4 linked regions of the Arabidopsis thaliana genome follow. The protein of the gene in region 2 interacts with the protein of the main gene of each other region in a pairwise test. Each region holds a gene or a part of one and is shown on either strand. Other genes may lie near its edges.

Evidence for each region.
Region 1: the proteins of AT5G15040 (region 2) and TINY2 interact in a two-hybrid assay, tested with the Arabidopsis thaliana proteins (one large-scale study listed by BioGRID).
Region 3: the proteins of AT5G15040 (region 2) and SPL13B interact in a two-hybrid assay, tested with the Arabidopsis thaliana proteins (one large-scale study listed by BioGRID).
Region 4: the proteins of AT5G15040 (region 2) and WOX14 interact in a two-hybrid assay, tested with the Arabidopsis thaliana proteins (one large-scale study listed by BioGRID).

Annotation. Positions count from the first base shown.
Region 1 is NC_003076.8:3,726,884-3,730,533, reverse strand, and holds TINY2 (Integrase-type DNA-binding superfamily protein), read left to right. Parts: upstream 1-1,807; 5' UTR 1,808-2,034; coding exon 2,035-2,745; 3' UTR 2,746-3,081; downstream 3,082-3,650.
Region 2 is NC_003076.8:4,869,247-4,872,425, forward strand, and holds AT5G15040 (Paired amphipathic helix (PAH2) superfamily protein), read right to left. Parts: upstream 1,496-3,179; 5' UTR 1,243-1,495; intron 1,030-1,242; 5' UTR 1,008-1,029; coding exon 901-1,007; intron 819-900; coding exon 662-818; 3' UTR 508-661; downstream 1-507. Other genes in the region: AT5G15050 (Core-2/I-branching beta-1,6-N-acetylglucosaminyltransferase family protein), read right to left, coding at 2,574-3,088.
Region 3 is NC_003076.8:20,615,153-20,619,690, forward strand, and holds SPL13B (Squamosa promoter-binding protein-like (SBP domain) transcription factor family protein), read right to left. Parts: upstream 2,912-4,538; 5' UTR 2,556-2,911; intron 2,387-2,555; exon of another isoform or gene 2,012-2,386; 5' UTR 1,982-2,011; coding exon 1,542-1,981; intron 1,471-1,541; coding exon 1,337-1,470; intron 1,251-1,336; coding exon 745-1,250; 3' UTR 552-744; downstream 1-551. Other genes in the region: AT5G50665 (uncharacterized protein), read left to right, coding at 1-16; SAE1B (SUMO activating enzyme 1B), read left to right, coding at 3,690-3,772, 3,967-4,018, 4,113-4,308, 4,393-4,472. UniProt on the Arabidopsis thaliana protein: Trans-acting factor that binds specifically to the consensus nucleotide sequence 5'-TNCGTACAA-3'.
Region 4 is NC_003070.9:7,181,029-7,184,625, reverse strand, and holds WOX14 (WUSCHEL related homeobox 14), read right to left. Parts: upstream 2,069-3,597; coding exon 1,864-2,068; exon of another isoform or gene 1,297-1,863; coding exon of another isoform or gene 1,278-1,296; coding exon 891-1,277; coding exon of another isoform or gene 874-890; exon of another isoform or gene 804-873; coding exon 760-803; 3' UTR 570-759; downstream 1-569. Other genes in the region: WOX10 (WUSCHEL related homeobox 10), read right to left, coding at 1-141; HMGB3 (high mobility group B3), read right to left, coding at 3,433-3,469, 3,557-3,597. UniProt on the Arabidopsis thaliana protein: Acts redundantly with WOX4 downstream of the TDR/PXY receptor kinase to regulate procambial cell proliferation and differentiation in vascular tissue, independently of any role in vascular. Involved in the regulation of gibberellin (GA) biosynthesis pathway.

The sequences.
Region 1 (3,650 bases), 1.1 Mb from region 2:
ACATCTTATATTTTGAAATATAGTGAATAATTTTTCTTTTTTTCTATTTTTTCATTCATTACTAGTTAGTTTTGACTTTTAAATAGAGGTTTCAAAATTATTTAATGGTTTTGTAATCCGATTGATTTCATAAACTGTTCTCGTGTTCTAACAATATTTTCAAAACAATTAAACTATTTTCGTTCTCGTCTTAAATAGACTTGTAAGAATCTCACATAAAATCTGTTTAACTAGGATAAATATAAAGCAAGAGTCAATATATTCATGTCAATAATTTTTGAATTAGAAACTTGTAAACTCTAAAACCTTTGTTGACCAGTTTTTTTTTTTTTTTAGTAAACTTAAGATGATCAATATTATTGTTAATTAGTATTACGTATATGATCAATATAAAATGCATATACGTATTGCTGAAACGAGAGGCGAAAATACAAACAATTCTCTTCATTGCAAGTACTTAGACATTGCTATTACTTGTGAAAAATCCAAAATGATTATTAAGAGACATTATTTTTTCGTCATTAAGAGACATTTTTTTGGCATGATTATTAAAAGACTTTAGTGTATGTGTATATTTGACAGACACTCGTCCTTCCTTATAGGTACGCAAATACGACCCCATGATTGAACAAGTTATTGTCCCTTAAAATTTCTTGAAGTTTCCTCTACAAACTTCTTTTCTTTATTTGCAATATTGTACCTCTAATTTTGGGGGCTTTTTTTTTTAGTTTGGAAGCAACTTTAACCTAATTAATATCAATTGGCTGGTAGATTTCTTTCTTTTATGGGTCTTACGCCCATATATTTTCTAAGACCAGGACAGAGGTATTAATTATCAATTTACTTACGGTTAAACCCCCTTTAGTACACCTTTTCAAGTCTAAGTATAAAATATCCTCTCAAATGAAATCAGTACAAATTGTGCAATTAATCACACACCATTTGGTGTCTCGAAAAAAAACACTCAGTTACAAATTTCTCCAAAATTTAAAATTTAGCCTCGAAGCATATGGTTTATTGGTTAAGACAAGTTCCTTTAATTAGCCCTCGATATATATAACTAAAGTAAACATATGATACTTACTAAAAAAATTTCCTGAATAAATCTTCAAAAACTGTTGACATTCATATAATATGTTTATAGAAAATCAAAATTTGAAAGACAATAACTCTATATCCGTGTAAATAATATGTATATTAATTCTGATCAAAACTAAATTGCAATTATGGCATATCATATATGTGGATACATATTGCCTTCACATGATGAGCATATATATATACCAATATGTAAATAGGAATGTATGATCCAATGAGTCGAAGATCAAGGTAAAGGATAATTAAACAGTAAAACTGAGGTGAAAATTATCTTACCACACAAAACAAAAAAGGCTTGTCTCATCATGTTCATCTCGGAGACAACTTTCATATAATTTACGTACCCGGCCGAGACAAAATCTCTTTTCAACACTGCCCTTCTAAATATGGTCGTCTCATAATCTTTTAATATACTGAAAAGTATTTTGTTTTCCTAATTTAGTTGCATAATGAGATTTTAAGAACCGGGAAAAATATTAAAGCAAACAGTGACCCCAAGTGTGTCGTTTTATACTAATAACAATATATTCACAATATAGAAATAGAGTGGGTCTGTGAGAAAAACAAAAATAAATGGAGCCACTGGGTCCATTTCCTTTATTCAATTAGACTTATTGCATTGTTTTTGGTCCCATTCCCTCTCTTCTAACCCGTACCCAAATATATTAATGCATATATAAATATTTTGAGTGACTGAGAAATGATAGCCAAAATTTTACCAACATTTTTCTCTTCTCATATCAAAGTTTCTCTCTCATTTCTTCATCACACTTCACTGCCCTGTTTTTTTTCCTCATTTTGAATAGTTCTCAAACTTATATATTTTTCCCCCTGAAGCCTAGCTATTTCTTTTTATTTGCATTAATCTCGGGATCCGAATCGAAAAAAGCAATCAGAATAATAGACTTGTACGATACTTGTGCCTAAGCTAACACAATGGCAGAGGAATACTACAGCCTCCGCTCGGAGAGAGTAACTCAGCTTCTTGTCCCTAACTCGGAGTCTGACTCAGTGAGTGACAAAAGCAAAGCTGAGCAAAGCGAGAAGAAGACTAAACGTGGGAGAGACTCCGGTAAACACCCTGTTTATCGCGGAGTAAGGATGAGGAACTGGGGAAAATGGGTGTCGGAGATTCGTGAGCCGAGGAAGAAATCACGTATTTGGCTGGGAACTTTCCCGACGCCGGAGATGGCGGCGCGTGCACACGACGTGGCGGCTCTGAGCATTAAAGGAACGGCCGCTATACTAAACTTCCCTGAACTCGCTGACTCATTCCCTCGACCCGTTTCATTAAGCCCTCGAGACATTCAGACAGCAGCTCTTAAAGCAGCTCACATGGAACCGACGACGTCGTTTTCATCTTCCACGTCTTCGTCGTCGTCTTTGTCTTCTACGTCTTCGCTCGAGTCTCTTGTGTTGGTGATGGACCTCTCGAGGACTGAGTCGGAGGAGCTCGGTGAGATTGTGGAGCTTCCAAGTCTCGGGGCGAGTTACGACGTCGACTCGGCTAACCTTGGGAACGAGTTTGTCTTCTATGACTCAGTTGACTACTGTTTATATCCGCCGCCGTGGGGACAGTCGTCCGAAGATAACTATGGTCACGGAATTAGCCCTAATTTTGGCCATGGCTTGTCATGGGATCTCTAACAGTTTATTTTGTATCATTACCATAATGTTTTGTTTAAAACAGTTTATTTTGTATCATTGCCATAATGTTTTGTTTAATCACGTTTTTAAAACCCTTTGCTGTTTTTGTTTTTTTTTTGAGTTTTTTGGTGTTAGCTAAGAAAGGTTTTTTTTTTTTTTTTTTTTGGAGCGGGTGTGAGCTCCATAATGATACGTGTACAAAACTCTATTTGTGTTTTTTTTTTGTAATATATAAATATCGGGTTTTTTTGTCGGAAAAGAAGGGAAAATAAAGTGATTTTTTTGTAAGTATCATCAAATGAATAAGCGATAAATAAAAGTCCACTAACTTTATGATATTGTAATAATGCAAATCATCAAAATTTAAAAAACTGTTCAATGTTTTTGTTTTTGTTTTCTTTGACAAAAAAAGTTTTTTTTTTAAAATTATAGGAAATATCTTTAACCATTAATTGTAAATTAGAGTCTCACTATCCCATTCATTTTTGTTTTGTCGACATAAATGGAACGGAGAATGTGAGTTAGGGTAAAAAATGAGGGAAAACACAAAGCAAGAGCAACTTGTCCAAGCTGACGCAAACAATACACAGCCACATATGTACATCCATGCAATACTTTATTATCATCTATTAGTATGTTAATGACCATAATTTCCCACTTTAAAAAATTTGTTAGACAATATAGGCCACACAAATATCATACAACTCGTTCTATTTTAGAATTAAAAAGAGAAAGGCTTATGATAAATTCAGATCTGATTAGCCAGCTCCACAGATGACTTTTTTTTGTTTGTGTTCTTATTCTACGATATGTTAAGATTAAAGACTAATTTATCAAAATTTCATAATGATCATCAAATAAAAAAGAATGTATATATCAAGAAATAGATTAATATTAAAATGAAT
Region 2 (3,179 bases):
TTTTTGGATATTTTTGGTTACATTTGATCAGCAAATACAGCAACAATATGATGGAGAGAAATCTTTGTGATTTTTAGTATTTGTAACATCATACTGTAGAACCAATGTGATCATAGTGTAAGGCTATATATATAAAGAGGCCTTTTTTCATCCCTGAAGTTCTGTAGAATATGCTCTCTCTTTTATTTGACAGCTAAAAAATAAACATTAATAAAAAGGAATAAAATCGTTTTCACTTTTTTTTTGAATTGTTATTGTATCAGTTGATGAGAAAATACTGCAACGATATGATGAAGAAATTCTTAATGATTTTTAGTATTTGTAACAATCAAACTATGATCTCAATATAGTTCTTTTTTCAATCTATGATTTTAACTTCTCGTTAGAATATTACAAATTTCATATATACTTCAGTTTTTTTTTTCATTAAGAATAAAAAATAATAAGTAGATAATAATGCTTTTGCCGAAGGTCAAATTAAGTAAATAAAGAAATTAAGTGGACGTAAAGAAGATAGCAAAAGGTCAAACTTTATCATAGTGAAATTCCTACATGCATGGCAAAGCAAAGATACTCGATAAACCATCAAGAACTGAATAGAGAGACTAATTTAGAGATTTTGATCGTATCATTTGAGTAGAAAAAATATGACAAGATAATTTCAATAGTTTCTTGCAGTCGAGCTAAAAGAGTCTTCTACGTCATCATCAAGAGCTATCTTGTATCCAGTTGGCAAAAAGGTGTTAAATCCGATAATCAATTCGTTGTGCTCCTTGAACAACTCTTTCAATTGAGCAAACGCAGTATGACGACCAATCCTGTGAATGCAAGAAATTCTTTGAGCAAACTCATCAAAACCTTAAGGCTAAACCAAAAAAAAAAAAAAAGCAATCATCTTACCTTCGTGCCTTCAAATCTAACAAAATATTCTTGAACATATCATATTTTTCAATTTGATCATGAAACGTATCTTTCACTTCCATAAAGTATGCCCTACATTCAGCCATAATGTCTCTTCTTCTTCCATGCCTGCACCAAAACCCAAAGAACAATAGAGACAGACATTATAACATGTTCCTACACATTCACGTAATAAAGAAAACTAACAATTCGCCCACAAGCCAAAAGAGGAATTCAGAGAGTCGCAAGTTTTGAAAGTTTACAGTTATCTTTAGACAAGCAACAAGTAGCCCAAAAACAACCCACGATAGCACCAACACACTTAAAGATTAGGAAACTAACCTTCGAGACCTTGGAACGTTTATTGCATCAGGAGTCCGCTTGGAACGTTTATTGCATCAGGGATAAACAAAAGATAAACAATTAGAGAGGTTACTTGGAAAGATATGAAACAAATCAATCAGATCTTTGAAGCGAGAGCAGAATCTAGAAGAAGAAACACTTCCATCACCGACGATTATACATACATGTACCAGAAAATGTTCTAGGCAGATACGATTAAGCGTTGCGACTTGTGATGAGAAGAGACCCAAATCACAACGCATGACAAACAAATTATAAATAAAGGCGCCAAATGGTGCCGTACGTTTCTCTTCGTAACGTCGTTGGGCCTAAATTAATAATGGGCTTTTATAGGTCGAGGTTAGGCCTTATTGTAAGTATTCATCTGCATTTCTTCTTTGTTTTATATTTACTAATATGGATATTTTGTTACAGTTTCAGTTGATGAGCAAATACTGCCACAATTGGTCCGTATATGAAACCGTGACTGAGAATTTTAGACCAAACTCTGTTCTCAATTGTTTATTTGTCAGTATTCGATATGGATTCTTGTTAGAAATATAAATATATTTTTGCTTCTGCTATTTTTGTGACATTTTAATGAAATATATATTTAATGTTATGTGACAGCTTTGAATGAGAGCCATTATATATATTTTTGTGACATTTTACTATGTTCATTTGATAAGCTTCTTGCTTCTGCTATGATGATTTTTTGAATAAATTTTACATGTCAGACTTTTAGAGATTTTTGTTTATCATTAAGAATCTTTGATAATAAAAAATCAGAGCAGAAGTAATATAATCTTGACTTCTTGAGTAATATAATATTTCCAAAACATTTGATAAATCAAATTCAAACCAAATCTTTGCCACCAGTCAGTCACATGGAATGAGTAGTGACCATCAATAGGCCCTCATGTAATTTGCACTTAGTCACATGGGTGTATATCTATAAATTTAAAACAACAATATCAATGTGAGTTATTGAATCATGTATCAAATTAATTCAAAAGCAATAATATCAATGAAACACCTATATGTTAGTCACAATAGTCAGGTAACTTCATCATGCAAACAATAAAAAGGACATGACTAATATGTGACAAACCTATAAAATTGGTATCAAGTTGGAAAAGGCCAAACTTTAGGTCGGCAATAGAAGACAAATTCCAATAATCAATGATCTTTCCCGAAATTTCTGCACTTTCTCAAATGAAGAAAGTCCAAAAAGATCTCTATACAACCATATCAAAGTATCGGATAATCAATACAGTTCATTTGTGTGAAAAACCACGTAACCATCTCTATGACAAAACTCTAATTTGCCATTACCGGCATTGCCGTGGTCTGAAATTCTCAGTAGATAACAAATAAGTTATGAGTTTCTCGATCCGTTTAGCTCCAAGACCAGGTTTAATAACCGACGTATCACCAATCACCGCACACGGATCGCTCCCGTTTTCCCTCGTACCAATACACCAACCACCCGGAGTGACCATCCCGTGACTCCGAAACAATAGTTCCGAATCAATCTTATCGAGAACAGGCTCATCTCTACGGAATTTCCTAGCAAAAGGAGCGTTACTGTCCACCATTCTCTGGAAATCATCTAATGTAAGATGGTGAGGATGTTGCTTTGGAGGATTGTCCCATGAGATGAAATGTAAGTCACTGTTAACCGTTGTGTTGGTAAACTCTCGAGCATTGCAAATCACAGTGTGGAAGTAACCTTCTGGCGATGAAAGGAAGTTTGCGTAATACATTAACACAATTCGAGGAAGATTATCCCATCCCCATATGAAATAATCCACAAAAGGTCTAGATAACATCATCCACGCAGATCCTATTAACCAACAACATCAAAAAACCATTAGAGCCTAAGAATTGTTATATCACATCAATGAGTGTAACAAGGATCCTACATTTAAGGAAGA
Region 3 (4,538 bases), about 16 Mb from region 2:
TTTATCAAGTGTTTAAGCTCAGAGAAGAGATAGTGATGTTAATTCTAAGTTTCATGTAAGATCTGCTCAAGTACTCATTTTTACACTATTCGAGTTTGAAGTTTGATTGGAGAGAAGAAGAAGACTGTACAAGATTATGAGAAGAATTGGAGAAGCGAGTCAAGGTTAGAAAGAAGATGTGATATCATTTTACTTGTGGCATTTGTTATTGTAATGTTAGTTAAGACTTGGATTGAGACTTGTATGGAGATTTTATATATATTGAATTTGATCAAAAAGAGGTTTCTTGCAAATGTGTAACAAAATGTCCCAAACTTATAGGCTGTTTATAGATTTATAGCCAAAAAAATAAAGCTACAACATATCAGATCATAGCCTATAAAATATAGCTACAAAATAATAGTTTATAGCCCTTAAAAAGAGTTACAAAAGTATAACATCAAAATTGTGCAATAACAAAGGAAATCAAAGCATTTCTTTTACGCCATAATATGTGAACATTTAATAGCATAGCAAGAAACGCTATTGTATGTGACCACTCTAAGATAGCTCCGGCAAACACAGCGTTTATGAATCCGCTATGTAAACGTTATTATAGCGTTTTCGGTGTGTTAAGAATGTCCATATTTCTTGTAGTGTTAACAAGAACAATGATGATGATAAAGAACATTGAAAAATGAGGGAGAAGAGAAGAGACACAAATAGATCTTTCTGATTCTATCTATCTACCTACTTCTTCTTCTACTACTCCCAATGAAACGGGAATGTCTGCGGAAGACGGACAGCCTCGTTACCGGATATAACCGATCCATCAGAGACTGCACTCGCATTCTCAAACAATCCCGACCCGTAAAAAACTGTCTCAACTGCTTCTTGGGACAAAGAAAGTGGTGGTTGAAGCAAATGAGGGACTGACGACGAGGAGGATGACAGAAGAGAGAGAGCACAATCAGAGTCATGGATGCAACTCGTCATTCTCTCACACAACGATGCGGTTCTCGAGCTTTCTTCTTCTTGCAAGAAAGGGAATTGTTTTGCTATGCTTCTGGTACTGTTTGGAGAAGAAGAGATTGGAAACATTATCCCTGTCTTTGCAGGAGAAGAACCAACAACATAGCTCTGGCTCTGCCCATAACTCGAACCATTGGCGGCTACAGCAACGCTTACAAGACTATTTCCCCAGCTCGGGTTCAACACAGATGTAGTTGGAAACACATGTGAACCACCAGAAAACTCTAGCAATTTGCTACCTGAAAACATAAAACAATGCTTCTTCATCAACAAGGAACGGTCTATTGGATTCAAGAAACTAACTAACTTTTCTTAAAACAGAAACCTTGAAAACCCGTAAAGAAGTTGGCAGGACGACCGATATGTTCAGGCTGCGGCTTCCGTCGTCTTCGATTATGTCCATCAAGACGTTTCCTACAACTTCTCTTCCCTTCATCAAACTCCTCCAAAGCATGAAACCTAATTAGACACAAATGTTAACATCTTCACCAACCCAACAAGAAGCTTAAACCATTAACACACAATCTTACCTGCTGCATTGTTGACAAAACCTCTGTTTATGACCATTAATAGTAACCACAGGAGTTTTTGAATGAACATCACAAACTTTATGTCTCTTATGATACTCTCTACAATTACTAAAATCAGAATCACATCCATCAACAAGACAAATCGGCATCTGGTTGGTTCCAACACCATTCCCTCTTGTTCTCTTTGAACTCGAGCTTCTTGAACCTTCTGGTTTAGCTAAAGCACTATCTTTCCACTTACTAAGACTAATCACTTGCTCTGTATCACCAAAAACAGAGGAAGAGTTTCCAATGTTTCTTCCAAGTTTTAGATCAAATGAAAAATCCGCTTTTGACTGTGACGACCCACCAAACGAGATCGAACCATCCATTGGTGATAAATCTGGTTCTTGATCGAATCCAGATAAATAACCAGAGCTAAGTTTGAAATTCCAGTCCATTCAAAGATTGTGCTTTTTTTTCTTCTCTCACTATAAAAACACATACATACACAACAGCAATCAAAGCAATATCAAGATTTGTCCTTTTTGATATTGGTACTCTAAATTTAAGAACAAACAGCAAAAACAACTAGTAAACATAAAACCCATGAATCTTTAACTCAATTAAACTTCAACTTCAATACATATGAAGGAAAATAAAAAAGCATAAGCAAAAAGCAAAAACACAATTATAAAGAGTACTCTGAAATTGTAGTTGAAGCTCTAACAAAATGATCTATTTTGATATTGAAAAAAAAACAAAAAAAAAATCCCAAAAAAGGCAAACTAATTGTACTGAAAAAACGAAATGAGAAGTGCAGAAACATAGAAACTAGAACAGATCCCACAAAATGGGAAGAAAGGAAAACAAAAAAAAAAACAAAAAACTTTTTTTCTGTCTACTCAATTCCAAGCAAGAATTAAAAAAATGCAATAAAAATGAAAGATTAAAGTAAGATTATAAACATGTTATTACATTAAAAAAAACTATAGAATAAGAAAAGTTTGTTGTTTGAAGGTTGAGAAATCTTACCAAATCCATACACCTACCAGTAGAGTCAGTAGAAGAAGAAACTCCAAAAGAGAAAGATGAAAATATAAAAAAATGGGACAAGTGAAAAAAAAGAAAGAGAAGATGATGGAGTTTAGCAAGAGAAAGTGGAGACAACAAGTGTGGCTGCTACTTCAATAATGCAAATAAGAGAAAGAGGAAAGAGAGAGAGAAATTGATGATAATAGCTATTACTAAGTTAAGAAATGATTTACTTACTTTAATTGTAACTTTACTTTCCTGATTTAGGGTTTTATTGATATCATTTTTTAAAAACTTTGAGTAAGAAAAAGTGAAGAAAAGAATGGAGGAAAGTGACAGCTGTTGTTGATTGTTCTTTTGCTTACTTTTTCAACTTTTCTTTGTTTATATTTTTCTCTGCCATTCATCAATTCTGAACTCTGAGCATCCGATTTTTATGAATGAACAGAGTATACTTTTGAAAATTTCAAATTACTCATAAATCTTGTATCTTTTTACTGACCCTTATCCAAAATATATTAGTTTTCAAATTGTGATATAAAATAGATGTGGTTTTTTCTTTTTTATAACTATGATGATGATGAAAATGAAACAATAAATTGGAAAGTGATACTAAAGAAAGAGGTATAGGATGCTTAGTTGTTTACGGCAAAAAACATAGCATGTGAATGTTGTGCTTCGCATTACACAACATCTTCTTCTGTTTTTTTTCTTCTCTCTTTCCACCGATACGCGTTATTTTCTTTGACTTTCATAGTTACGGGTCACACAAGTTGTCAATTATCAGGGAGAATCGTATAAAAGTCTTCCATGTCTTTAAAAGTTTTGCAGATGGATTTAAAAGATTTGGGGTCCAAAGCCCATGTTTCATTTGTTTCGGCCCATAAATTGTCCTAAAAAATAACAAATTGGTTATTTATTGAATGCACAGTTGTTTTGAATTTAAAAATTTGTAGTTGACGAACCGGACCAAACCAAAACAAACCATGTAATTTGAATAAATAAAAAGAAAGCAATTTTCCGGTTAACAAAAAATCTCAAACTCAGTGAGTGAGTCACCGAAAACCTCTTGTAGTAGATTCGTGACGGGTTTGATCATCTCTTCGAGGTCGGTTCTAGGGTTTCACTACGAGAATGGACGGAGATGAGCTCACCGAGCAGGAAACTGCTCTTTATGACCGTCAAATTAGGGTATGGGGAGCTGGTGCTCAAAGAAGGTACTTCACATTGAATCTAACTTCTATGGCTTCAAGCAACAACAAGTTATTGATTTTCCGTTTGAGTACTAATAAACTCTTCTTGTTGGGCTATACTCGGTGAAAGTTTATCTCTTTCTGGGTTTTAAGCTAATTTAGCTGTTGAAATTTTGATTAGGGCTTCTCTGAATTTTGTTTTGTGTTTTTGCTTGCAGATTGAGTAAATCTCATGTTTTGGTATCTGGAATTAAGGGCACTGTTGCTGAGGTACCTCTTACTTTATTTTGTGACTCTCTATTAGCTATGTTGCAGTAGAGTGAGTGTTGGCATCTTACTTGGTTTCCTCCATTTGGTGTTGCAGTTTTGTAAGAACATTGTGTTGGCAGGAGTAGGTAGTGTGACTCTGTTGGATGATCGATTGGTTACAACGGAAGTCTTCAACGCAAACTTCTTGATTCTTCCTGATGAAAATGCTTATGTAGGCAAAACCGTAGCTGAGATTTGTTGTGATTCACTTAAGGATTTTAACCCTATGGTTCATGTTTCAATAGAGAAAGGTTACTCCTCCTTTCTTCATTTCTCTCTAATTTTAGTAGAAACAAATGATTTTAGTAACATCGAGTCTATGTCTTCAATTTCAGGTGATTTGTCAACACTTGGTGTTGATTTTTTCGAGAAGTTTGATGTTGTGGTTATCGGCTACAGTTCTCGTGCTACTAAGGTACTGTTGATACCTCCTTCTTTTAGTTGTTCCAGTTGTTTTTGTCTTTTGTTGCCATGTAGATTG
Region 4 (3,597 bases), on a different chromosome or scaffold from region 2:
GACAGAAGAGAGAGAGTTGTGGAGGAAGACGAGCTGGTCGCAAAGAACGGCGTAAATGGCGATTTGCTTACGAAGAGTCTCCATTTGTTCATCCGTCATTACTCTACTACCATACCTACCGTTTAGGCTCTCTTGCTCCATCTCCTCTTTCACCACTTTGCCTTCTCCTCTCTCCTTTTTACCATATGAAGAAGACAATGTGGAAGTGAAGGTGTTATGTATTTTTCTTTTTGAGAAATCTTTAGTTATTTGTTACCGTTAACTTTAAACAATTTATGGAAAGATGTCAAACTAGGATCAATTGTCTGATTTTTTTTCTTTTTCAATTACTAGTTAATTGAGGTAATTTTGGGATTCAATTGGATAAATAATTGATATATATTCTAATTGTGTGGTCATGTAACCAATATCCGATTTTATATGATTTTTTGTGTGATAACAATAAATTTAAAAACAATGAAAAAAGCTATGGTCATGACTAGGATCGGTTATTATGGTCAATTGCTTCTACTCTTTAGTGTCATTTGAATTGAGATTTACCGGTCAAAATATCAACCGAGTTTAAGATGGCATCACTTTTCTTTCTGATGCTGAAAAAGATGTGGGCATATATATCAAGTTGAGGAACACAAAATTATAATAAAATTGAAGACTTGTTGTTAATGTCACACACAAACACACACAATTCTATTTTATGAAAACAGAGTAAAAGAAAACAGAATAGATTAGAGATCTTCTTCATCGAAGTCTATACGAATTTTAAGTCTCCATAAATTTCCCTATACTCAACAAATGCTCAATCCCTGAAACCACAAAAAAAAATGCAAACTCAAACCAAAAATAAAAAATAAACCTAACCAAATGTTTAAAAACTCAAATGATCTTTTTACCTAAGTCAGGACTTGGGAAGAGTATATGCTCATAAGACTCTAATCCCCCTGAATCTCCACAACTCCTCCTTTCCTCCGTTGTCACCGCCACATCGTCAGCCTGACCATTAGCTGTCGTCGTTTGAGGCTGCTTTCGTTTGGACCGAGCTCGCCGGTTTTGAAACCAATTGTAGACATTTGTCTCCGTGATCTGTCCATGTTCAGACAGCTCCGTCGCGATCTCTCTAATCCTCCGTCGATTCGGTGTTCCACTTCCTTCGTCGTAAATGCTCTCAAGTATCTGAAGCTGTGTTGAAGTCGGAGTCCACCGATGCCTAGTCGATATCCTATGAGAACTTGACGATGCCCCCATCGGATCAAAGTATCCGCCAACCATTGGCCTCACTCCTTTTTTACACTCAATCATTATAAAAAAATAAGTGACGTGACCCTTAAGTTTCTTCCATGTACAAAATATGTATTATCAAAACCACAAAGCACTAATAACTCAAGCTTCTTAAAAATCGGCCACGACATGATAACCCTCAAATCAGCTTACGTCTAGAGAAAATAAACATTAATAATATATTGAATTGTTCGATCTAAGCAAATCATAAACTATATTAACAAATATCTTTAGCAATGATAAATCGATATCTAAGCGGTAGGTAAACTGTCTTCGAATGTCTAAAACATTATGAAATTTGATTCAAAGTTATGCATCGAACACTGGGAAAAAAAAAGCCTTGGATTTCGTTAGTTGTATACCAAACGCAAACACAATTTTCACATTTTTACACTAAAGTCTCAATGGGTCAAGTGTATTAATGGAAACAACGTTTGCATCGCAAAAAACGCTGCGTTTAAACACTTTCGTCTTACACACTTCTTCTACCGTATACAAAGAAGCTCATCAAATGGTCTCTTGTAAAAAAATCAAATACATAGAAAAGTGATTGTTGTTAATCAGGAACAAAAACAGAGAGAAGTGTACCTGATGAGAGTGGATGGTAAGAAGAGAGGGAGTTGTGGAGGAGGACGAGTTGGTCACAAATAACGGCGTAAACGGCGATCTGCTTACGGAGAATCTCCATCTGCTCCTCAGTCATCACTCTCCCACTATACGCACCGTTTTGGATCTCTCTATCCATCTCCTCTATTTCTTTGCTTTTCTCCTTTTCCTTTTTTTTTTTTACCATATGAACAAGACAATGAGAAAGTGAATGATATATATATTCTTTTGTTTATGAATAAAGGGATCTTTAGTTTATTTGTTACCGTTAAATCAAACACTTTTTGGAAAGATGTCTTTGTTTAATGATCAATTGGACCAATTTAATTTTTACAGTTACCAGGTTTATTACATTGGTTACATATTGAAAACATTGGAGAACTATGGCCTTTCACTAGGATAGATTTTGGTCGACGGTATTCACAATTTTTTGTTAGAATTTCAACATTTTAATCGAGTTTTACGGGTCAAGATATCTACCATTTGAAATAGAAAAATGTGCTAATCCAAAATATGTATCTAAGAAGATCTTAATCCTATGTGTTGATGACATAATAAGACACCACACTAATATATAAAAACAACCTAATTAAAACCAGGTATTGTTGTTACATCCGTAGAGGAACACAAACTGTGTATCTTACTTTATGTATATAGTGGTTAGGTAAAGCCGGAAGCAAGGCTTAATCACAGCATTATATAAAATATTATCGTTGTGACTTATGACTAATGATTAAACTATTGATGGAAAAAGAAGAGCATGCTTTCTTTCTTTTTCTAAGTTGATTAAGAAGAAAATGTACGAATTTGACCAAAAAGGTTCTTTGATATAAAGATGTTGACTAAAAATTTATAACATAAGTGAGACTATTCTGCTGCTAATACGCAGATTTTCACTAAAATCTTCACTTTTGTCAAAAATGATCAAATTTTTTACTTATTTCTTAAATCAAACGAAGTAATACAATCCAAAGAGAAACTCTTAATTAAGCTGATGCAAACCATTTTTTTTTTTCAAAAGATGAAAAGAGAACCAAATGATCATGGCGTTGGTAATTTGGAAAATTCAAGTATAGCCTCAAAACAATTTTACCAACCTGTGTCTAAAGTCAAATAACTAAATAAAAAGTGAAAACATGGTTTACTCTTTGTGGAACACATTGATTAAGAGCGTGATTATGCAATAGGACTCACAACCCCAATATGATTTAAGTAAAAACATGGTTTACACTAATATTTTTTTCAGGGGTATAAATCCTCATATCAACTAGAAACAAAGAGTCTAAAGAGCATTAAAACGTAGAGGAATTAAAAACTAAATCATTCATTATATAGAGCTACAAATCTCTCATTTCACCATCTAAACATTCTACATTCACTTTTTCCATTACCCGTAGAATCAGTGGGAGATAGGTAATAGTTTACTAAAACGAAACATCAGTAAGAAAAAGAAAAAGAAAAAAAAAAAAAACCACTTTAACCACCCGAATTAACATTTTAAGAGAGGAGATAAAAACATCCGAGAGATTCCTTGCAGCCTTCTATATTACGCTACCACAACTTCAACTTCTTAATCATCGTCTTCCTCCTACATCACATGTATAACAGAGTTAATACAAAGCTTTACTGATTCATACTACAGATATTTAGATTGCAGAGGTGTAAAATAACTTACCTCTTCACTGCCATCCTCAGCATCATCCTCATCGTTAACCT